Sus scrofa: one gene and its partners. The protein of the gene in region 1 binds, or shares a complex with, the protein of each later gene. Links are inferred from orthologs where the notes say so. Each region holds a gene or a part of one and is shown on either strand. Other genes may lie near its edges. The genes, in order: TAF11, TAF13 and TAF8.

The links.
Region 2: TAF11 (region 1) and TAF13 share a complex: the UniProt entries of both Homo sapiens proteins name them as parts of the TFIID basal transcription factor complex. The link is inferred for Sus scrofa from reciprocal best matches to the Homo sapiens genes TAF11 and TAF13.
Region 3: TAF11 (region 1) and TAF8 share a complex: the UniProt entries of both Homo sapiens proteins name them as parts of the TFIID basal transcription factor complex. The link is inferred for Sus scrofa from reciprocal best matches to the Homo sapiens genes TAF11 and TAF8.

Annotation. Positions count from the first base shown.
Region 1 is NC_010449.5:30,807,308-30,815,759, reverse strand, and holds the start of TAF11 (transcription initiation factor TFIID subunit 11), read left to right. Parts: upstream 1-3,991; 5' UTR 3,992-4,090; coding exon 4,091-4,261; intron 4,262-8,452. Other genes in the region: ANKS1A (ankyrin repeat and SAM domain-containing protein 1A), read right to left, coding at 2,479-2,669. UniProt on the Homo sapiens protein: The TFIID basal transcription factor complex plays a major role in the initiation of RNA polymerase II (Pol II)-dependent transcription.
Region 2 is NC_010446.5:110,977,630-110,985,962, reverse strand, and holds the start of TAF13 (transcription initiation factor TFIID subunit 13), read right to left. Parts: upstream 5,148-8,333; 5' UTR 5,100-5,147; coding exon 5,073-5,099; intron 4,089-5,072; coding exon 4,010-4,088; intron 1-4,009. UniProt on the Homo sapiens protein: The TFIID basal transcription factor complex plays a major role in the initiation of RNA polymerase II (Pol II)-dependent transcription.
Region 3 is NC_010449.5:37,199,556-37,206,750, forward strand, and holds the end of TAF8 (transcription initiation factor TFIID subunit 8), read left to right. Parts: intron 1-2,743; coding exon 2,744-2,883; coding exon of another isoform or gene 2,884-2,887; exon of another isoform or gene 2,888-3,162; coding exon 3,163-3,175; 3' UTR 3,176-5,148; downstream 5,149-7,195. UniProt on the Homo sapiens protein: The TFIID basal transcription factor complex plays a major role in the initiation of RNA polymerase II (Pol II)-dependent transcription.

The DNA of each region.
Region 1 (8,452 bases):
AAGGGAGGACATGCTGACCTGGGGATTATCTAAATGTACGGTCTCATTTTCTCTGAAACCTTTGACTAGGTTGAACCAAAGTCACCTCTAATTAATGACACACCTAGTGTAACTAGGGCCTGCAGATCCTCCCTGCCCCTGGGAGTCACGGGAGTGAGGGGTCAGGGAAGCTCTAAGGCCATCTGCCATCTCTACAACAGATACCGGAGCAAGTCAGGAGTCAGCTCTCTCCCACAAGGGAGCGAAGATGCCAGCCATACTTATAACCGCGACTGGACATACTAGCGTGAGGCCCAAAGTGAAAACACAAAAAGCAAAGATTTTCTAGTCTTGATTAACTACAGGGCAGCTAAATCCTCAGCAGAAGTTCAACAATCTCTGAGCAGGAGCACTGACAGTAACTTGACCTGTACCTGAAGGCAGGAGCGATGGGAAAGTTTCTCACATCAGCAGGACGTACTGGGGGTTAACGTGGGCAAACTGCCAAATGCTACAGCATTCAACTCATTAGAGACAGGCACCACCTTCCTCTCTTCTCTCAGACATCAGAAGAGCAGAAATATCAAAGAAACCCAGGTAAGATTCAAAACCCAATTTATGCATTCAAAGTACATGTACTAAACATCGTGTCAGGCTCCGCTATAGGAACAGGGAATATAAACATAAAGACCAAGTCGTTCTGAAAGGTGCAAAGATCCTCATCCGTTATTATTTTCTTTTCTCACACTCAACCACTTACGGCTCCAGGCAGTGACCCACTAGCACCAAATAAGTCTCCTTTCCCACCTCAGTGCACCTGATCATGGTGTGCCCACCTGGAGTTCCCTCACAGTACTTCACCTATTCAAGTCCTCACATCCTTCAAAGTCAGCTGGTGCCCTCCCCCCGCCCCTTTCCTAGAAGCCCTGATCTCCATTTCACCCCAAAGTGACTTCTCACTTCTCTGAACTAGTAACAGAGTCCCACCATCAGTTATGTAGAAATGTATCACTAATTTATTCATTCAACAAATCCTGAGTACTAACTATGTGACAGCATTGTTCTAGGGGCTGGGAAAACTGTAGCAAATGGTACTGGGTTTTGTCTCCCCAGAAGAACTCCCTGGGAGTGAGTTCCCATTGTGGCTCAGGGGCTTACAAACTTTACTAGTACCCATGAGGATGCAGGTTTGATTCCCTAGCCTCCCTCAGTGGGTTAAGGATCTGGCGTTGCTGTAAACTGTGGTATAGTTCACAGATGCAGCTCAGATCCCATGTTGCTGTGGCTGTGGTGTAGGCCGGCAGCTGCAGCTCTGGTTCCACCCCTAACCTAGGAATTTCCATATGACGCACCTGCGGCCCCAATAAAGCAAAAAAAAGAAAGAAAGAAAGAAAAGAAAGAAAAAGAAAAGAAAAGAAGAAAGAAAATGAACTCCCTGGGAGAGTTCTCCTCTTAAACTGCTTTTTAAAATCTTCCTGTGTAGACCTGGGTTTGCACTCAGTGCTTAATACCTAACAATTTATTTGAGCCTTGGGCTTCTTTGGTCCAAGCTCACTCAAATTGAAGTTACATAAACTAATGTGGAACAAAAGCAAACCAAGCCATTTCTAAATGAACTTCCACTTCTTAGAAACCTCAAAAGAACAAGGAAGGAAAAGAAAACAGGCTATGAAAGTGCTGCTGAAACAACACATTTTACTCACAGTGACAAGGCACCTCCAATCCCCCCTTCAAGATGCACAAAAGTGACCTTTTTTTTCTCTCAATCCTTACAGCTCCAGATTCAAGTGTTTAACAACAGTCCTTGGAAAAGTTTAAAGCACCCCTCAGTTTCCTAAACAAGTTTTCCTAAACCTTTATTTTTTGATGAATAGACCCCTTGATGAACACTACATATGCCACTTAACAGACTAATCCAATGAGGTTCGCTACATGGAACCAGACTTTAAACTCCAAGCACAAAGGGGGCTGAAAGAAAAACATTTTGAACCTGATAAACCCAAAGACAATTTTAATATAAACGACAAAAGCCACGTCCTGCAGAGCCTGGTGGAAGATTCCAAGTTCCCAAAAGAAGGGAATCAAGAGAATTTCCTCCAGGGGAACCGCGAGATTCTGCAAGGCGTGGGAGTTTCTGCAGGAGATGAGGGAGATTTAAAACACATTTTTTTTTTTCCTCTAAAGTGGCTTGTGAGATACAACAGCTGGCACCCGCCAGCGGGCGAGGGTGCAGCCGGGCTGTGCCATGCGGCGGAGGCTGCCACCTGGGCACTCCCACCATTCTTCGCAGCTGGGTCAGGAGGCGAGATGAGAGGAACCCGAAGCCGCGCGGACCCGCACCGGTGCCCCCTGCCCCTTGGGCCGCCTGCCCTCGCCCTGGGGCAACCCGCAAACCCACCCCGCTAGGGTCTCTGGAGCCCCGATCTCTCTGGAGACCCAGGAGACGGGCGGGGGAAAGGGGATCTCCAGGCGGCTGCCGGGTATCGGAGCGTTACTCACCTGAGCAGACTGGACAGAGGATGGCTCGAGGAGCTTAGACCGCCGCCGCCGCTGCTGCCGCCCCCGGAGCTGCCGCCACCGCCGCCGCCACCCCCGAAGCCTGAGGAGAGCCGCTTCCCGGACAGCAGCTTCTCCACGGCCGGGAGGTGCCCGGTGCGGGCGGCCTCCAGCAGCTCCTGCTCTTTCCCCATCCCCAGGGCCGCCGCCCCCCGGACCTCCTCCCCGGGGCCGCCGCGGAGCCTGCTCTGGCTCCCAAACTTTCCGTCTCCGGGCAACGCACCCCCCAAACCGGCCGGGGACACCACCCCCTCCCCCCGCCTTTTCCCCCAGGAGCGCGTCACTTCCGGGATCCGGCGTCACGCGTCACCGCGCCCCTGCGCCCCGCCCCTTTGCCCACCTAGCTGGGCGGGGCTCGGAGGGCGGACACAGGTGGCTGGGGTCTGCGCCAAGTGGCCTTGGTTGAGCCGAGATTGTCCTCTCTGGGCGAGAGGAGGGTGTCGTGTGGTCACCTGCTGTACAAGTGGGAAGCTACAGATTCGCTCCACCTGTGCGCGCCTCCCGACGTGTTCTTCTTCCTCAAAGGTTTTGGGAGCTCGCAGGATAGGAAATACGGTAATTCATCCAGGCAATGTAGAAACAAAGAGAGAAATATGGCAACGCGCATCTACATTTCCAAGTCCATTCATTCAGCACGCATAAATTAAATACGTAATAGATGTGGGAACCTAGTAATACAGAGGTGAATAAAATGCCCCCTTCCGTACTTCAATGAGGGAAGAGAGGGAACTTTTAAAACAAAAATATCCCCACTTAATGCTCCCAACTCTGAAACGGTTCGTTAAAGCTAAACATTCAAAGGGAAGGCTTCTCTCCCAGTAGGATGTTTCCTCTTTCGATGACATTAACCAAGCTGATATTAAAGTCAAATGTGTGAAACCGACCCCGACCTTGAGTACTGGGGAATTGGAAAAATCATTCAACTGGGTAGAGATTATGTCTTTTGTTTCTGGTACTAGCATTGTTCCTGGCTCGAAGTAGGCGCTCAATCGTTGTGGAGTGAATAAGGAATTGGATAAATTCGGTTCAAGCTATAGGACTTTTCTTTTTTTTTTACGTTTTTGAGGAACAAAAGAGAAATGCTGGCAATTCAATGTAAACACAGGACCGCCGTCTCTGTCCAATTGTACTGCCTGAGTTTACCCGGTAGCCACAGGGAGTACAACGGAATTGAGTTTCCTCCCGTCCCCAAGATTTCTTCTGAGGAAAGAGAATGAAGGACAAGAGTTAACTGACATTGCGTTTTTAGAAAGACGGAAAGGAAAAAGACGCCCTTCAGTAAAAAGCGCAGCTGTCCTTTACAAATACTGGTTTCCCAGGGTGGAAAATACACAAACTGAGTTCAGTACCCTCAATTTTCCCTCTCCCCACCGCCACCAAATCAAAACGGAGCCCTGATGTCCTCTACACGCGCCTGTAAATGACCCCTCTAAGGAGCGGTGTGGGTGACGTCATCGCAACGCGACGACAGGAAGTGAGCTCCTGGGCTGCTGTGCTGCGCGGGGTCCCGAGCTCCTAAGCCCTCGATGTCCTTTCCCCTCTCCTTCTGACCGCGATGGATAATGCTTGCGAGTCGCCCGCGGAAAAAAGTGGAGAAACAGGGGAGGCAGATGAGATGGCTGCTGCTCCCGGGGCTCCCGGGGTTACGGACACGGACGGAATCCCGGAGGAAACGGATGGAGACGGAGATGGGGACTTGAAAGAAACCGCGGCTGAAGAAGGCGAGGTAGGGAGAGATGTGTCCATGAGGCCGGAGTTGTGTCAGTGGCTTCTCGACAGGCTTCCTGGTTGGTCCCAAGCTAGGATAGTCGAACTCACCCTGACTCTTTAGCTGTGCAGTCGCGGGGTTGCGGGGAGAGAGAAGACAAAAATCTTAGTACCGCTTAGGTTCTAAGGACCGAATACTGGATCAGCGTTTTTAATCCCTGCCCTTAGACATTTAAGCTTTTTCCCCACCACCAAGTTCCTGACCCAGCGGCCGGAAGTTCCCGGGCCAGGGATCGAACTGTCCCAGTGACAATCGCGGGATCCTTAACCTGCTGAGCCACCAGGGAACTCCTAAAGGAATTTCAAATAGCCTCTTGGTCTTCCTGGTGATGAAAATGGGGTTCATGCCACACTGAGACTTAAGACGAGAGCTAGAGCCCAGGCTTCCTAGAACCCTTTTCACCACAATATAGTTTCTTTAAGGTATTGCTTAAGCATAGTTATCATTATAGGTTACAAAGTTGTTAAAGGGAACTTGGAGGTAGTTACTACTTTAGTCACGTTGTTACCCGCTTGGGACATTTAACTCCTACCAGTGACCTTGGTGCTAATCTCCAAGGGTCACTGTGGCATAAACACACCAAATCTATCAATTGGGCCACCCAAGAGTTCAGCAGTGTTGCTTCCTGAGCATCAAAGGACCAGAATCTCAGTGTTCTCCGGGTTTCATTTCTAAAGATGAATCTTGAGGTCATAGAGCTAGAATTCCTGGATGAAGTTGTGTGAGATCATGGGTTAAATGAAAACAGCCTTTCAGGGCATGAAGTTGCATCAAAATATATAAAGTTGAGAACTTTTAGAAAAACATGGAGGAGTTCCCGTCGTGGCGCAGTGGTTAACGAATCCGACTGGGAACCATGAGGTTGCGGGTTCGGTCCCTGCCCTTACTCAGTGGGTTAACGATCCGGCGTTGCCGTGAGCTGTGGTGTAGGTTGCAGATGCGGCTCGGATCTTGAGTTGCTGTGGCTCTGGCGTAGGCCGGCAGCTACAGCTCCGATTCGACCCCTAGCCTGGGAACCTCCATATGCCGCAGGAGCGGCCCAAGAAATAGCAAAAAGACAAAAAAAAAAAAAAAAAAAAAAAAAAAGAAAGAAAGAAAAATATGGAGTTCCTTGGTGACACAGTGGTTAAGGATCTGGTGTTGTCACTGTAGCAGCTCCGGTCACAGCTGTGGCACATAATCAATCCCTGGCACAGGAACTTTCACATGCCATGGTTTGGCCAAAAGGGGGAAAATTTTAAATAAGTGGAAATGATATCAAAGACAGAATTTGAGTAATAATTAGCTTAGGACAGTAAAGAGCTCACTGAATACAGAAATTTACACCCAGCAGAAGATTAAAAAAAAAAAAATTTTCATGCTTCTGAAACACTTTTAAAAATTCATCATATACCATACCACAAAGAGAAGCATAATTATTTTTTTTTTTTTTGTCTTTTATCTTTTTAGGGCCACACCCGCAGCATATGGAAGTTCCCAGGCTAGGGGTTGAATCAGAGCTGCAGCTGCCAGCCTACACCACAGCCATAGCAACACGGGACCCTTAACACACTGGGTGAGAACAGGGATTGAACACACATCCTCATGGATACTAGTCAGGTTCGTTAACCACTGAGCCATGGCAGGAACTCCAGAAGCATAAATTCTTAAAAGTAGAAATCATAACAGGCCATATCCTGTTAGTACAATGCAATAAACCTGAAATTAACAATGCAAACTTCTCCCACCCCCATCCTGCCAAAAAACTAACACCTGAACACTTTAAACTATTTCTTAAAAGCCAGTGGATTAAAGAAATTAACAAAGAGAATACCACATCAAATCCTATGGGATTTTACCAAAACTTTATTTAAAGTTTAGTCCATAGCCTTACATATTTTAACTAGCAAACGAGAGATATTGAAAATAAGCACCTAACTCAAGAAACCATAAAGAGAACAAGATAAATCAGAAGGATGTAGCAGCAGGCAGATATTAATGAATAGTTCTTAAAAAAACAAACACTAAAATTAAGACCTGATTATTTGAGGGAGTTCCCATGTAGCTCAGCAGTAATGAAGCCAACTAGGATCTGGGAGGATGAGGGTTTGACGCCTTACCTCACTGAATGGGTTAAGGATCCACCGTTGCTATGAGCAGTGGTCTAGGTTGCAGACTGCACCATCGGATTTAGCTTTGCTGTGGCTGTGGTGTCGGCTGGCAGCTATAGCTCCAATTAGATCGCTAGTTTGGGAACTTCCAGATGCCACAGGTGTGGCCCTAAAAAAGACAACAACGAAAAAGACCTGATTGTTGAAATATAAAAGTACAACATTATGAAATAAGAAAGGGCTGTATGGACTGATATGGAGATATTTAAGCTTTAAGAAAACTGAATGTTAAAGTTTAGACCAAGTAATTTTGAAAATTTAAGAAAAATAGCCCATTTTTAAGAATATTGGAGTTCCTGTTGTGGCTCAGCGGTAACAAATCCAACTAGTATCCATGAGATGTGGGTTCGATCCCTGGCCCTGTTCAGTTGGTTGAGGATCTGGCATTGCCGTGAGCTGTGGTGTGGGTTTCAGATTCGGCTCAGATCTAGTGTTGTTGTGGCTGTGGTGTATGGTCGGCAGCTGCAGTTCTGATTTGACCCCTAGCCTGAAAACTTCCACATGGTTCGAGTATGGCCCTAAAAAGCAAAAAAAAAAAAAAAAAGAATATAAACCACCAAAATTGATGCACAAAGAGGTTAGAACATTTGTATAAATCAGTAACTAGAGAAGAAATTGAAAAGGTTATTAAAGATTTACTACCTTCATTCACTCTCATCTACTTCTCGTATTCCTGTATGAGTTGAATTGTGAGTTCCTCTGTAAGGAAAATAGAAGTTAAATCCCATTAATGAGGTTTTTTTGTATCCTTAGATTCTCTATTAAGTTGGAGAGGATGAAGTATGGATTTTGATTTTGTTGTTTTATTAAACACATTAAACATCTAGTATGAGTAAAACAATGTTAAATGCTTATGTGGGTAAAGAATGGCCATCATTAAAAAGTGTACAAATAACAAATGCTGAAAAAGTGTGAAGAAAAGGGAACCCTTCTACACTGTTGGTGGGAATGTAAATTGATGCAGTCACTATGGAAAACAGTATGGAGATTGCTCAAAAAATGAATAATAGAGTTGCCATATAATCCAGCAGTCCCACTCTGGGGAATATATCCAGACAAAACCATAATTTGAAAAGATATATGCACTGGTATGTTCATAGCAGGACCATATACAATAGCCAAGACATGGGAAAAAACCTAAATGTCCATCAACAGATAAATGGATAAAGAAGATGTGGGATGTATATACAATGGAATATTACTCAACCATAAAAAAGAATGAAATCATGCCATTTGCAGCAACATGGATGGACCAAGAGATTATCATACTAAGTGAAGAAAGAGAAAGACAAATACCATATGATATCACTTACATGTGGAACATATTATCAAATAGAAACAGACTCAAAGATACAGAGAACAGGCTTATGGTTGCTAAGGGGAAGCGGGGTCAGGGAGGGAAGGATTAGTAGTCTGGGATTAGCAGATGCAAACTATTATATGTAAAATGGATAAACAACAGGGTCCCACTGTATAGCACGGGGAACTATTTGATATCCTGTGATAAGCCATAATGAGAAAAATATGGAAAAGCATATATTATATATATATATGTATAGCTGAGTCACTTTGCTGTACAGCAGAAATTAACACAACATTGTAAACAACTATGTTTCAGTAAAATTTTTTAGATGCAAACTATTGCATTTAGAATGAATAAGTAATGAGTTTTTAATTTTTTTTGGTCTCTTTAGGGCCGCACCCCTGGCATACGGAGTTTCCCAGGCTAGGGGTTGAATTGGACCTATAGCCACAGCAACACAGAATCTGAACCGCCTCTGTGACCTACACCTCAGCTCACAGCCACACTGGATCCTTAACCCACCAAGTGAGGCCAGGGATCAAACCTGCGTCCTCATGGATGCTAGTCAGATTCGTTTCCACTGAGCCACCATGGGAACTCCAAAATTGTTTTAATTTTTAATGTTTATATGAGGAGAGATAAATAGACAAAACTGTCTTCAAGGGAGTTCCTGTTGTGGCGCAGCAGAAACAAATC
Region 2 (8,333 bases), on another chromosome or scaffold:
CCTTCTTGGTAGTTTAGGGAAGATGGGAGCCATATGGATTCTTATCCTACAGTCTATAAACTCCCAGTTAGTTCATGGATAAGCTTTGAGAAGTCAGGGGACTCTAATGAAATTATATGCAAAAAAATTTTAAACATTATTTGAGTGTGTGTGTTTTTCTGGGAAGAAAAATCAACTCATAAGATTCTCAAAGGTGTATATACTAAGAAACTGTCACATGTTAGAAATGTTTCATATCCTGATCTGACTAGTGGTTACAAGTGTATATATATATATATGTATATATATATATATATATATGTAAAATTCATCAAGCTATTCACTGAAGACTAGTCCTATCTGTCTGTCTATCTATCTATCTATCTATGCTTCTTAGGGCCACACCGTGGCATACGGAAATTCCTAGGCTAGGAGTCAAATCAGAGTTGCAGCTGCCTGCCTATTCCAGCAAGGCTGGATCCAAGCCGCAGCTTCGACCTGCACCACAGCTCACGGCAACACCGGATCTGTAATCCACTGAGCGAGGCAAGGGATCAAACCCATGTCTTCATGGATACTAGTCGGGTTTGTAAGTGGCTGAGCCACAGCAGGAACTCCAAGACTAGTACAATTTATTGTATATAAGTTTTACATTAAAAAAAAAAAAAAAAAAGGAGTTCCCGTCGTGGCGCAGTGGTTAACGAATCTGACTAGGATCCATGAGGTTGCGGGTTCGGTCCCTGCCCTTGCTCAGTGGGTTAACGATCCGGCGTTGCCGTGAGCTGTGGTGTAGGTTGCAGATGTGGCTCAGATCCCAAGTTGCTGTGGCTCTGGCGCAGGCCAGTGGCTACAGCTCCGATTAGACCCCTAGCCTGGGAACCTCCATATGCCGCAGGAGTGGCCCTAGAAATGGCAAAAAGACAAAAAAAAAAAAAAAAAAAAAAAAAGAGGAACTCCTAGAACACTTCTAAAAGCAGGAATGAGTACATTAAGAGCAATTCCTATTTAGGAGAAAAGAGTAGACAAGGCCTGCAGATGAAAAGAAAGGGTAACTTTGGAAGCCAGCCTGGGATAGAGAAGTACCCTAGGGTTTATTCTGGCAAAAGTCTCTAGGCCCAGATACAGGAGGGAGAAAACAAACACAGGAGCCAGTATTTTCTCCCCTCTCTTTTCTGGATTCTGAACATTGCCCCCACCTTTTTTAAATAGGTAATTTCAGACTTAGAGAAGAGTTGCAAAAGTAGTACCAAGTTCCCCAATGCCTCTATCAGTTTCCCCTTATGTTAACATCTTATATAACCAAAGATATTTCTCAAAACTAAGAAATTAACAGTGGTACAAGTACCAGTTTCTCCACTCATGTACTTTTTCTGTTCTAGGATCACACACTATTCAGCTGTCATGCCTCCTTGGTTTCCTCTGTTGTGCAACAGTTCCTCAGACTTTCCTTGTCTTTTAGAACCTTGATGCTTCTGAAGAATACTGGTCAGTTATCTTGTAGAATGTCCTTCAGTTTGGGTTTGTCTGATGTTCACTCATGGTTAGGTTGTGATTATGCATTACTAGAAAGGGTACACCGAGATGATGTACCTCTTAATGCCTCATATCATGAGTACATAATGCCAACATACATTACTAGTAATGTAAACTTTGATGACTTGCTAAAGTAATGCATGCCAGGATTCTCCACTGCAAACGTAATTTTTTCCTTAAATGTTCTGAGGAAGATATCTTGTCATTAACATTTTGATGAGAAGAATTCATCAGTAGGGAAATACACTTCACTGGAAAAGGAAAAACTTAGATGGGAAGTTTGTAAACTGTTTTGATTAAAGAGTCTGTAAAGGAGTTCCCATTGTGGCTCCGTGGTTAATGAACCCTACTAGTATCTATGAGGGCATGAGTTTGATCCCTGGCCTTGCTCAGTGGGTTAAGGATCCGGTGTTGCTGTGAGCTGTGGTGTAGGCCACAGACACAGCTTGGATCCAGCATTGCTGTGGTTGTGGCATAGGCCAGCAGCTGCACTCCAGCGCTGCTGTGGCTGTGGTGTTGGCCAGTAGCTGCAGCTCCGATTTAACCCCTAGCCTGGGAACCTCCATATGCTTCAGCTGCGGCCCTAAAAAGACAATAAATAAATAAATAAATAGAGACTGTAAGGATATAAAAACCAGCAGTGAATGCTTTGAAACTTTGTGTTATATTGGCAAAAAAAACGTTTTTAAAAAAAGGTTTAGGAACAGATCTTGTTCAGGAAGGTATATGAAGATTCAGGTAAGACAAGGAAAAGGCTTCGAAGATTCTGAACTCTTGTCATCACAAAACAAAGCAATCCAAGTGGAACAAAGGCTTCTGGTAAGAACTGACTATATAATCATCACTATGGGACACTCTGATATGGAATCCCTTTCTTATGGAAACATAAGAAGCAAAACCAACCATAAGAGGGAGGGGGAGGGACAGGGAGGTTGGGGTCAGTAGGTGTAAACTATTGCATTTAGAGTGGACAAACAGTGAGATTCTGCTGTATAGCACAGGGAACCATATCTGACCACTTGTGTTGGAACATGATTGAGGATAATGTGAAAAAAAAAAGAATGTATACGGATGTATGGCTCGGCCACTTTGCTGTGTAGCAGAAACTGACAATAGACTGCAATCCAAAAAATTTTTTTAGAAAGAGAAGCAAACCCACATACAAATGGAGTAAACAACATCAGAGATAGAATAAGAGGTGATCCACTTTCTCTTTTTTTGCTTTTTAGGGCCACATCTGTGGCATATTAAGTTCGAAGGCTAGGGGTAGAATCAGAGCTACAGCTGCCAGCCTATGCCACGGCCACAGCAACGTCAGCTCAGCCTGGCTGCGACCTACACTGCAGCTCATGGCAACGCTGGATCCCAACCCACTGAGCGGGGTCAGGGATCGAACCTTCATCCTCACGGATACTAGGCAGGTTTGTTACACTAAGCCACAATGGGAACTCCAGGAGTGGTCCACTTTCAATGAGAAACTGATATAACAAGGGATTTGAATGGTTAAGGAAGAAAAAGACATACTGACTCTGCAGTTTCAAGAGCATTTAGGAACTGCTTACATGCAAACCAGCATAAGTAAACAAAGTATTCAGGCGCTGCCTCATCAGGTCAGCCATGTTACATGAAAAGGACTGGGACTGGGAGATAGAGAGCCCGCACATTCTCATGGTGCCTTTCAAGGGCTGGCCTGGATCAGCAGCAGCAGCAGCTGCTCTCCTTGCTGCTGCCAAAAAGGGTAAAGCTCTCTACTCAGAGAGTAGAACAGAGAACCAAAACCTTATTATCTCTATGCCACTGGACTGCCTCACACTGTTCACTTTCCTTGTCCACTGCCTTAGTCCAAAGCCCCAACTTAATTCCTATTCTCAGCACCTGTTCCAGGAGCCAACATAACCTTTGGCTTACAATCAAAGGAGTCCCTGCTCCTACTACTGCACAGGTAAGGGACAGAAAAAGTAACAGAGGTACTGAATTGAAACACTGATCATATTTCTTTTTTCTTTCTTTTTTTTTTTTTTTTGCTTTTTAAGGCCACACCCATGGCATATGGGAGTTCCCAGGCTAGGGGTCAAATCAGAGCTATGGCTGCTGGGCTATACCACAGCCACAGCAACACAGGATCTGAGCCATGTCTATGACCTACACCACAGCTCATGGCAACGCTGGATCCTTAACCCACTGAGCAAGGCCAGAGATTGAACCCAAAACCTCGTGGTTCCTAGTCGGATTTGTTTCCCCTGCACCACGATAGGAACTCCCACATTTCTTTAAAAAAAAAAAAAAAAAAAAGTGTGTCATATACATACATATACATATATAAATACATACACTGGGGTAAGAATCATTACTATGGTTCACAGGTTAAACAAAATTTACAGCTAAGTCTGACAATATTGTCCCTACAAGGAAACACATTCAGAACAGTAAGTCTACTTTGAACAGACATTTCCAAAGGTTTTTATCTATAACGAAATCATTGCCAAATACTACTTACATTCTTTAGAAAAAAGTCTCTTTCTTTTACCCTGTCCACCTTCGGCACCTCCTCCAATTTCTTCACTTTCTTCCTCAAACTAGAAGTTAAAATGTATACATAGAGATGTCAAGCACTGCATTGGACTTTTAAATAATTAACATTTTTTCCCCACCTTCAACAATGATATCATGCCTGAAAGCCTAAAGCAGGCAGCAAAACCCCATGAAACCTTAGAATTTCAGAGGCCTTAAAAACTATCAGTCCAACTTCAGACTCATGCAGGAATGGCTTCTACAATATCCATAATAACCGTAGTGTCTCTCCTGGAAAAGTTCCAATACCATATTTTTGTTGTTGTTGTTGTTTTTTACCGAGCCCAAGGCATGTGGAAGTTCCCTGGTCAGGGATCCAACCCGCGCCACAGCAGCGCCGCAAGCCGCTGCAGTGACAACGCTGGATCTTTAACCTGTTGCCCACAAAGAACTCCCCACACCGTTCTTTTTTTTTAAACCAACTAAGCTGGCCTATTTCTAGACAGTTTTGCTAGTAAAGGAGTTGATACTGAATTAAAGCAAGCAAAACTAAGTTACTAAGCACTGCTAACACAGCCCTAAGAACGTTCCTCAAGGAAGCCTTAATCCCATTTTGTGATGTGAAAACCGAGGCTCAAATAACCTGCTCACAGAGAAAAGAGATTTTGAAATCCATGTTCCCTGACTCTGAGTCCATTATTTTTCCACTATTTTACAATAAGTATATAGTTTTGTTAGCAGTTGAATTGACGGTTCATAATGAGCGCTAACATACTAGCTTTGTCCTCTGATGATTCTCTAGATGTTTCAGAGAGTGTCTGGCAAACATGGACCAAAAGCAAAGGGCAGGCAGGGAGCCACGCTCCCACTCTTCCCGCCCCGCGTACCAAAAAGATGAATCTGAAGGGAAAGGCTAGTATGAAGCAAAGTCTCTGATGCTCTCCTCTGAAAACACTACGGAAAAAAGCTCCAGTTCTAAACTGTGCCTCCGCTATAAGTGCCCGAAAGAGTGCAGAAAAACGTGGGCTGGAACACAAGTGGTCACTCACGGTGGGGTCTTCCTCCTCATCTGCCATCCCACCAGCCAGCCGCCTCCCGGACTCGCCTGCCTACCACCCAGCGGGTTTTATCACTTCCGCTACCTCACTTCCGGTGACGCGCAGAGCCGGGGCGGGGCCTAGTCGCGACCCCGCCTGCGCAGGGGACAGCAGCTCGTCCGACCTAGCGGCCGGACCGAGAGGGCACTTAGTTGAGGATGACGTCTTGTCAAGAAAAAATTAAAAATTAGCAAGGAAAAAGGAAATCTCGGGCAAGGTGGCGTGTATCTCTTGCTTCCGTACGTCGGATTTCTGCTTCCTGATTCGACTGCGAAGCTATGTATCGTTCAGGGCTAGCTAGGGGTTCGTTTAAACATCTTCAGCCCCTCAGAGTTCCACTGTTATTTATTACTAAGGTCTGTATTGGTTACTGAGGATGTACTTTGAAAGCAGTTCTCAAGGGGGTGTTATCATCCCTTAGACTGGGGACTTAACTTTTGTGGGGCGTTTTTGTTTGTTTGTTTGTTTAATCAGAACTTTGGGAAAACCATGGATTTTAGAAGGCTAAATAAAGCTAGGTGTTTAAGCTGTTCTGCAATGCAAGGCCACACAGGGAAAGATTACCCCACAATACTCTATTTCTTTTTTTCTTTCTTTCTTTTTTTTTTTTTTAGAGCCATACTTGAGGCATATGGAAGTTCCCAGGCTAGGAGTTGAATCAGACTAGAACTGCAGGCCTATGCCACAGCCACAGCAAATTGAGATCCAAGCTGCTATGTGACCTACACCCAAGCTCACAGCAACACCAGATGCTTAACCCACAGAGAAGGCCAGGGATGGAACCCTGCATACTCATGGTTACTAGTCAGATTCGTTTTGGCCACAACAGGAACTCCCAAACTACATTATTTCTGAATGTTCTTAACATTCCTGTGAGTGAAAAATCAGTTCATAATTATCTGGGCCAAGAACATAACTGTTAATATATAAACACTGGCATTTTAGTGGCCTAGCAGTTAAGGATCCAGCCTTGTCACTGCTGCCCACCCCACCACAAAAGAAAGAAAATTCAATGTACCTTAAAAACACAGGAAAATGCTTTGTGTTTGCATTTGGGCTTTTTTGTTATTTATTTTTGCTTTTTAGGTTCTCACTCGCAGCATATTGAGGTTCCCAGGCTAGGGGTCCAATTGGAGCTTTAGCTGCTGGCCTACACCACAGCCACAGCAACACAGGATCCGAGCCACATCTGCAACCTACACTACAGCTCACGGCAACGCCAGATCCTTAGCCCACTGACCAAGGCCAGGGGTTGAACCTGTGTCCTCATGGATGCTAGTCAGATTCATTAACTGCTGAGCCACAAAGGGAACTCCCTGTATCTCTTTGTTTGGATCCTTAACCTACTGAGCCACTAGGGAACTCCCACACTGAATTTCCTAGGAATGCATATATATATATATATATATATATATATATATATATGTCTCAACCGCACTCCCTTTCTTGTCACAGAATTCCTAAAACCCTTGTAATTTGTTAAGTGATAAGAGCACTAGGAGCATCTCCTGTTCTAATATCTGGTCTTTGACATCCATCCCACACCTCCTCTATGCACACACACCGGGCTATTAAAACCCCTGTAAATTCCTAAGTGATAAGAACACAACTTTGTTCTAAAAAGGCATCTCTGAGTGGGCTCCTGGACGGCTCTTAGATAGGGACTAGTCACCAAAATGACCAAACCTTGATTAGAACCTTGGAATTTTCAGGCCTCTTCCCTGCCACTACCCTCCCAATTCTCTAGAGAGAGGAGAGGACTGGAAATGGAGTTAGTAATCGATCATGCCTACTCAAGGCATAACAACTCCAACGGTAAGGGGTTCAGAGAGCTTCCAGGTTGGGGAACACATCCACTTACCTGGAGGTTGATGCACTTTAATTCCATGGAGGCAGAAGTTCTGTGCTCAGGACCCTCCCAAAGAGCGCCCTGTGTGTCTCTTTATCTGTATCCTTTATCATATCCTTTAATTAAATTGGTAAACATGTCTCCCCGAGTTTTGTGAGCTGTTCTACGAAATAACCAAATCCAAGGGGGGAGGAGGTCATGGGACCCTCTGATTTGTAGTCCAGTCAGACAGAAGTTGGGGGTAACCTGGGGGCTTACTACTTGTGATTGGCATCTAAAATTGGGAGCAGTCTAGTGGGACTAAGCCCTTCATCAGTGGGATCTTACACTCTCTCCAGCTCAACAGTGTCAGCATTGAGTTAAACTGCAGGACACCCACCTGAGGTCACACAATTGTTTGCTGTGTGTGTGTATGCGTCGGGGGGGATACGCCACATATTTGGTCACCAGAAAGGAAGTGTTCTGTGTGAAAGTAATGGAGAAAGATACATAGAAAAGAAAGAACTGGGAATTTCCCCCCAAAACAGCAACTACCCTGAAATTGGACAGAGATAGTACTTTGTTTTGTTTGCATCTCACCAAGAGCTGTGAACTACTCAGGAAATAATGTCATGAAAAGCCACATCACTTGTAATAATTTGGGTAGCCAATATGCACTGGAATCAGTCTGCATTTGTAGCTCCTTGCATTCACGGGGACTCTACATATACGTGCAAGCATCTGAGATCATTATACCCTCTAGCTAGTCATTTATATATATTTATAAATATATTTATATATTTATAAATATATTTAATATATATTCATATATCAAAATGCATATTATTATAATTTACTGTCTTTATTTTACCTTTATATTATAGTTAGGACATTATACTTTTTAGTTATGTGGGTACTTAGGTCTATCGGTTATTTATTACTGTGTAACAAATTATCCCCAAACTTAGTGGTTTAAAACAATGAACACTTATCACACAGTCTCCTCTGAAGAATTGACGCGGAGGATCCATTTCCAAAATCACACTGTTTTCAGCAGGATCCAATACTTCAGGTTGTTAAAGACCTCAGTTCTTCACTGGCTATTGCCAGAAGCCTCCCTCCACCCCTTGCCACGCAGTCCTCTTCATAGGGCAGCTGACAGCACGCCTCTATCAGCGCAGATGAAGGGGAGAACCAGGAAGCATACCCAAGACCACAGGTCTTTTTGTAACCTACCGTTGGAACTAGCACCCCACCACTTTCGCCCTGTGCTATTCACTAAAAGACATAAGTGCAGCCCACACTCAAGACTAGGTCGTTACACAAGGATGAGATTACTAGGTGGCACACATCACTGGAAGCTACCTGACAAGCTGCCTATCATG
Region 3 (7,195 bases), about 6.4 Mb from region 1:
TGTGGGGCTTGAACACCTGGATGGAGGAGTTGCCATCACGGTGCTGGGAGGGCTTGGGAGCTGCTGTCTGTGCAAAGGGGAAGGTCCAGGGTTCCGTTTTAGGCACTTGGAATTTGAGATGCCTGCTTGACCAGTGGCTGTGCAGAGCCTGGAGGTGAGGGGAGAGGTGAGGGCTGGAGAGGCTTAGATGGGAGAGGCGGGCGTGGGAATGGTGTTGGAAGCTGTGAGGCGGGATGCGGCCTCCTGGGCTGGGGCGCCTGGTGGTCCCGAAGAGCGTGCTTGTGTTGCCTGAGTCTGACCTTTCCAAGCCCAAGTTGCTCCTGACAGACCGTTCTGCTCCCATCTTTTTAACAAATCTCAGTCAGTTTAGTACTTTTATCTTCTGTCCCTCTCCACCTCGAGGCTGCCTGTCCCCAAGAGGGCAGAGAAAGTGGCACTTCCAGAAGCTCTCTTTGGGAGGCCCCAAGTCCTGACTCGTAACCCCCCTGCCCTTGTGAGGCATAGTGAGCCGGACGGAGGGAGCCTCCAGCAGTGGTCCCAGGACACCCCTGACTGTGTCTCCGCCACCCTTATCGTCACAGGAAGCACTTAAAGCACAGCTGAAGTGAACTTCCAGGAACTTTGAAGAAAGGGCGTCTACTGTAGATGGATGGTAGGAGGAAGGGGGTTGGGGGGAGGTTACTGAACCAGGCCATTAAGCACCTCAAAAAGGTCGGGAGCCACATATCCCAGGCAGGTCTGTGTGGTCAGACCTCATGTCCTTCACCTGGTCTGGCACCAGCCAGGTTGAGCCTGGGGACTTGCTTTCCACAGAGCCTCTGGAAGGTCCACAGCAGCTGTCGCTCATGCCGCGGTCCCACTGGGTTGGGGGTTGGAGAAAGGAAAGCCCTCGGGCCCTGGATGAGCCTGGGTCTCTGGGGAGAGCAGGACTGATGGACAGTGAGAGGGTGTGCAGCTGGACCTCGGAGTCATCACCTTCTTCAGACTCATTGAGCCCAGACTGGCGCTGCATCCTAGCCAGCGGTCCCCTTGGGAGAAGCTGCCATCTGGTCACAGCGCCCTCTGTCTTTGGACAGCAGAATCTCCTGGTCGAGGTTAGGTCCTCTCTTGCCTCAAGTTACAGAACAGAACCCTCAGCATGTCACCAGGGGGCGCAGCAGGACCAGCTGCTTCTGCCGCTCACTTAGAGCCACTTGAGCCTGAGCTTTTAGGTCAAGTTTTTCATATGATTTCCCCCCCTCCCCTGCAACTTCTGCTTCTTTTAAAGAACTTGGGAGGTGGAGTTCCCGTCGTGGCTTAGTGGTTAACACATCCAACTAGGAACCATGAGGTTGTGGGTTCGATCCCTGGCCTCGCTCAGTGGGTTAAGGATTCAGCATTGCTGTGAGCTGTGGTGTAGGTCGCAGATGTGGCTCAGATCCCGTGTTGCTGTGGCTCTGGCGTAGGTCGATGGCTACAGCTCCAATTAGACCCCTCGCCTGGGACACTCCATATGCCGTGGGTGCGGCCCTAGAAAAGGCAAAAAGACAAAAAATAAAGAAAGAAACTTGGGAAATAGAAGAGTGTAAAAATGGGAAAGAAACGCAATCACCCACATTCCCAGAAGCAGTTTGTAAAAACAATGAGGGGTTCCCTTGCGGTGCAGCAGGTTAAAGATCCAGTGTTGTCATTGGTGTGGTTCGAGTCGCTGCTGTGTTGTGGGGTCCATTGCTGGCTTGGGAAAAGGAAAACAAACAGTGAATAGAGTTCCCGTTGTGGCGCAGTGGAAACAAATCCAGCTAGTATCCATGAGGATGTGGGTTCTATCCCTGTCCCCGCTCAGCGGGTCAGGGATCTGGCACTGTCATGAGCTGTGGTGTAGGTTGCAGACACTGCTCAGATCCCATGTTGCGGTGGCTGTAGCATAGGCCGGCAGCTGTAGCTCTGATTCCACTCCTAGCCTGGGAACTTCCATATGCCACAGGTGTGGCCCTAAAAAACAAAAAAAACAGTGAGGGCGAACTCCCTGGTGGTCTTGTGGTTAGGACTCGGCGCTTTTACTGCTACAGCCTAGGTTCATGCCCTGGTCTGGGAACTGAGATCCCACAAGCCACTGCTCACCACGGCCAAATAAGTACATCAATAAAATTTAAAAAAAAAAACAAAAACAAATGAGCAGTGAAGGGCCTGTCCCATGGCCACAGGTGGGGACAGTGGGTGACGCTCCTGGGTTGCTGCTGGCACACACTGCTTTGCCTTGGTGGGAGTCCTCGGGGCTTCAGCAGTTTCTGGGCTCTGCTGGGGTGTGGTCGTTGGTGCCATGTTGCATGTACCAACTATTTGAGACTCTGGGGGAAAACATCATGATCTGTGAGCTTTGGTCCAGGAAGTGCCCTGGGCACACAATTCGTTCCAGTCCTGTACCTCAGTCCTTCGGGGCACTGGGGGCCGCTTCTCTTTTTCTTCATCTCCCCATGCACTGGGCTTCCTTCCTGAAGCATCTAAATCTTGATCCCCTGCGCCTCCTGGGTCTCTGTTCCTTCTAACTCGCATCCCTGCCCTCTCTGGAGATTCAGGGATCGGGGTTCTGTGCTCTCACCTTCCTCAGTGCAGCCGCTGCCTGGGGGGCAGAGATGAGCACATTAGCTAGAAGATGGTACCTGAGCTTCTAGCTTCTCCACAAAAGGGATGCAGTTCCCATCACGGGCATGGTCGTTGTCCTTATGCCGTTGGTCTTCTGCTTTATTTCGGCTTTTGCTCAAAGGATGATTCTGGAGCCGAGAAGGAGAACACCTCCGTCCTGCAGCAGAACCCCTCCTTGTCGGGGAGCCGGAACGGGGAGGAGAGCATCATCGATAACCCCTACCTGCGGCCCGTGAAGAAACCCAAGATCCGCAGGAAGAAGTGAGTTGGAGGCTGGGGCGCTCAGGGCCTCCCCGGCCACCCGAGGTGCCCTCTCCACCCCTTCTCCGGAGGGTCCGAACCCCCGGGGAGAGCTACTCTGGTGAGAGGAAGTGTTTTCCCTTCTCTCCGTCCTCGCCTCCCGCATGTACCGCTTGTAGCGTGGAGGTGGAGCGTCCTGCAGGGACCAGCCCTCTTGGCCAGCAGCTGTCCCCCACTCCCCAGAAGGAGAGCCGGCAGGGCCCCCTCCAGGCAGGCTCCATGGATTCCTCTTCTTTCTAGGTCCCTCTCGTGAGCTGAGAAGGAAGCCTGCCTTGTACAAAGACACAGACACCACCCTCCTGGGGGGAAGAAAGGGTGGCTGCCTTGGGGTCCAGCTGAGGCTGCCAGGCTCTGACCGGGCATGATTTTAATAGCAGACTCTCTATTAAGATTACCTGTTTTCACTGGATATTTGGGTTGAAGAAGACACGATAGTAACAATGAGGCTTTTTTTAAATTCACCAGGCTGTACCCTGGGGCATAGGAGCAGCCAGTGACTTCATTTATTATCATGGGATTTGATTCTTTGAAACCTGGATACCAGGGGAGGTGCCGGGAAAGGAAGGGCTTTGCCTCTTTTGCTCACTGCCAGACAGACTGGTGGCTTAGTTTGTATTTCAAGGCACCTGGACCCCTTTTATCGACTGACAGTTTGCAGCACCAAATTATCCTAGAACAACCGCTCCTCCTCTCCTCACCTGGGCTCCAAGGGCCCTGTTCCGCTGATCGAAGGTGACTTTCCCTCCTTTAACATGTTGGAAACAGGAGACCCACCCTTCATAGCCTGTGGGGCCGGCAGGAGTCAGGAGCAGACACGGTCACGGTCACGTGGAGGAGGCTGAGGCAGGAGGGCGGCATTGCCTCCCATCAGCTTGTGATGAGAGCTCCCTGTAGCAGGGCAGCGCCCTCTGCCGAGAGTTGTCCCTTACTGTCCCTCTAGGGAGCGTGTGCTTGGGAACGACCAAGTCCTGCCCCATCCCAGGAAAAGAGGTTTTCTTTGACAAGAGCCTACACCAGTGGATAGATCATGCTGTGACTTGACAGAGGAATCACTGATTTTACACAGTAGGAAAAGGATTTGATGGGGGTGGGTGGGGGGTGACAGGAGTGAGATTTTGAAGGCCGGGTTTGGCCTCATGTTCTGAAAGCCAAGAGACCTGGCTGGTCTGTTGGGCGGCCGGCTGGCTGGATGGCCATGTGCCCACTGACGGCAGAAGGGGGCTGAGAAGAGCCTGCAGGTCTGAATCTGTCCAACCTCCTTGCCCCCTGGGAGAGAAGACTTCATCCTTGATGCACCCTCCAAACCAGAAAAGGAAGATGCTGGGCAAGTGGGTACTTTTTAGCTCCTCTCCAAAGGAAGAGGTTTTAAAACCAAGTCAGAGGAAGAAAAATGCCAGTGACAGCTGAAAGTTAACGTGGCGTAAACACCAAGTTCCCTGGGTCAGCGCCCTAAGGACCATGCTGAGCTCCCTGGGTACTCGGCTTCCACAGTCATCTCTTAATCTTCTGTCCTCCTGGCAAATTTGAAAATTCAAAAAACCAAGCAGCTTGACAGCAAGTGCCACGTCCCTCTGGCCTCATTGTCCTCTGCGCACTTCATCCCGCTGGCCAGAAGGAAGGCGCTGCTCGTCAGTAACTGAACAGGGGATGCCGACGGAGAAAACTGGAGTCCCCAGCTCCGCACCAAATAAGAGATTTTCCAGTTGGTAGTGACCTGCCCCTCTTGCAGTTGAAAGTAAGTCCGCTTGGGCCTATGCTGCACCCTCCACGTCTGGCCTTTGGCTCTTGGTGAGGCTTGGCCTGATGTGTTTAAATAACGGCCCCAGGTTTGAGCCACGGCAGGTACAGGGCTGATACTTTCCCGGCTTGCTGCTCTCAGCCGCTCTCCGGAGCCGTCCCCCCAGCAGCTCCTCCACGACGCCCGTCGAATGCTGTTATGCTGAAGGATGAGGGAGGACGTGGAAAAGAAGTGCCATTTCTGCTGCTGCTGCTTCAGAGGCCACCCTGTTCTGGATGAGACATGGGGAGATGGTCAGACAGCCTGCAACACTGACGTGACTGTTGTGTAAAAACGCTGCGTAATCCTCAATGTATATTTATATATTTTTATTTTTTATAACTTTAGGGGAATGGGTGGAGGGGAAAAGTAGTAAACAGAGCCAGATTAAGAATGTGATTTATGAGCGCTTAATAAAGGTCATAATAAAAATCCTAAGTGAAACAGAATGGTAAGCTCTGAACTCAATGTGTGCGCACAAGTGATAGCAATGAGTGAGGCGGCATTCAGAGACAGAAGGCTGAGACTTAGGTTGGACACGGTACCCTTTCAGGAGTTCCCGTTGTGGTGCAGTGGAAACGAATCCAACTAGACACCATGAGTTGCGGGTTCGATCTCTGGCCTCGATCAATGGAATAAGATCTGGAGTTGCCACGAGCTGTGGTTTAGGTTGCACACGCAGCTCGGATCTAGTGTGGCTGTGGCTGTGGCGTAGGCCGGCAGCTGTGGCTCCGATTGGACCCCTGGCCTACCTCCATGTGCTGCAGGTGCAGCCCTAAAAAGAAAAAAAAAGGGAAAAAGTACCCTTTCAAACTGTCTAAAACTTTTCATTTGGGACCTCTGCAAACACAGAGCTAGAGAGGAAAGCACACATTCGTTTTCCCTGTATATTCTTCACCCAGCTTCAACACTTGACATCATTTCAATTCTGTTTCGTCTATTTCTTCTACATCTTTTATTTTTTATTCCTGGAGTATTTTTAAAAACCAATCTTGGAGTTGCCGTTGTGGCTCAGTGGAAACGAACCCAACTGGAATCCATGAGGATGTGTGTTCATCCCTAACCTCACTCAGTGGGTTAAGGATCCAGCGTTGTTGTGAGCTGTGGTGTAGGTCACAGCCGAGGCTCGGATCCCAAGTTACTGTGGCTGTGGTGTAGGCCAGCAGCCTGGGAACTTCCATATGCCGCAGGTACAGCCCTAAAAAGAAAAAATAAAACAAACCCCAAACCGAAGAAAACCAATCTAAGAACTATGTCATAGAGTTCCCAGTGTGGCACAGCAGATAAAGGGTCTGGCATTGTCTCTGATTCAGTGTGGGTTTGGTCCCCAGCCAAGCACTGTGGGTTAAGCATCTGGTGTTGCCCCAGCTGTGGCTCAGATTCAGTCCCTGGCCAGGGAAATTCCCTATGCCCCGATGTGGCAAAAAAGCAAAAACCAAAACATGTAGTCTATGAATACATTATTATGCATCTCTAATAGACTTAATTTTTTTTTTTTAAAAAACAGCTGCACCTGCGGCATATGGAAGTTCCCAGGACTAGGAGTCAGCCTACACCACAGCCACAGCCTTGATGGGTCTGAGCCATATCTGACCTATGCCGAAGCTTGCTGTGCTGTAGCTTGTGGCAACGCTGGATCCTTAACCCACTGAGTGAGGCCAAGGATGGAACCTGCATCCTCACAGATATTTGTTGGGTTCTTAACCTGCTGAGCCACAACAGTAATTCCTGGTTACACTTTCAAAGCAACATGGTAGATTGGGATTGATTCACTTTTCCCCCAAAACCACTTCCACTCCCCAGTTTTCACAGCAGCAGCTGGCCCTGGAATACTTGCCTCAGGCCGGGACCACAGCCTCTGCAGCATCATCTCATCCTCAGACAGTCTGGACCCCTCATCCTTCATCTGCGTCTGATCACTCACCAAATTCTGCCACCTCTTCCCTCCTTGCCGGTCTGAGGCTGCAGCAGCCTCCTGCTCTGCCCCAGCCCCTGTCCCTCTCCAGGCCCAGCTTTCCACAAGCCCCAGCTTCGTCCTTCCTCCCCCGCTCCCCACACTAGGACCTCTAGTCCATCCCTGCGCCCATCCACACCATGTCCAAACTGCCCAATCCAACTGGCCAGGTCCTCTGCCGATTCACCGTTTCTTTTCAATAACTCCTATTTCTTTGATTTATCCGACAAGTGCGGATCTACTGCCTTCTATGTCTGTGAGGCCCTGTGCCAGGCTCTAAGAATTAAGTCAACAGACAGACGTGGCCCCCGCCCTCCTGGGAATCCATTCTAGTGGGAAAACATACAAAGAAAAAATCATTACAGATTGTGGAGAAGTGCTGAGGCCGTAAACGGGGTCTGTGTGCCCGGAGGGGAGACGGCCACCCTCATCACTGCTGCTGCCTATGCTTTTCTCCCTGTCACCTCCTCAAATCTTTTTTTAACTGAAAAAAGTTTTTTTTCTTTTAACAGCCACACATGCAGCATATGGAAGTTCTCAAG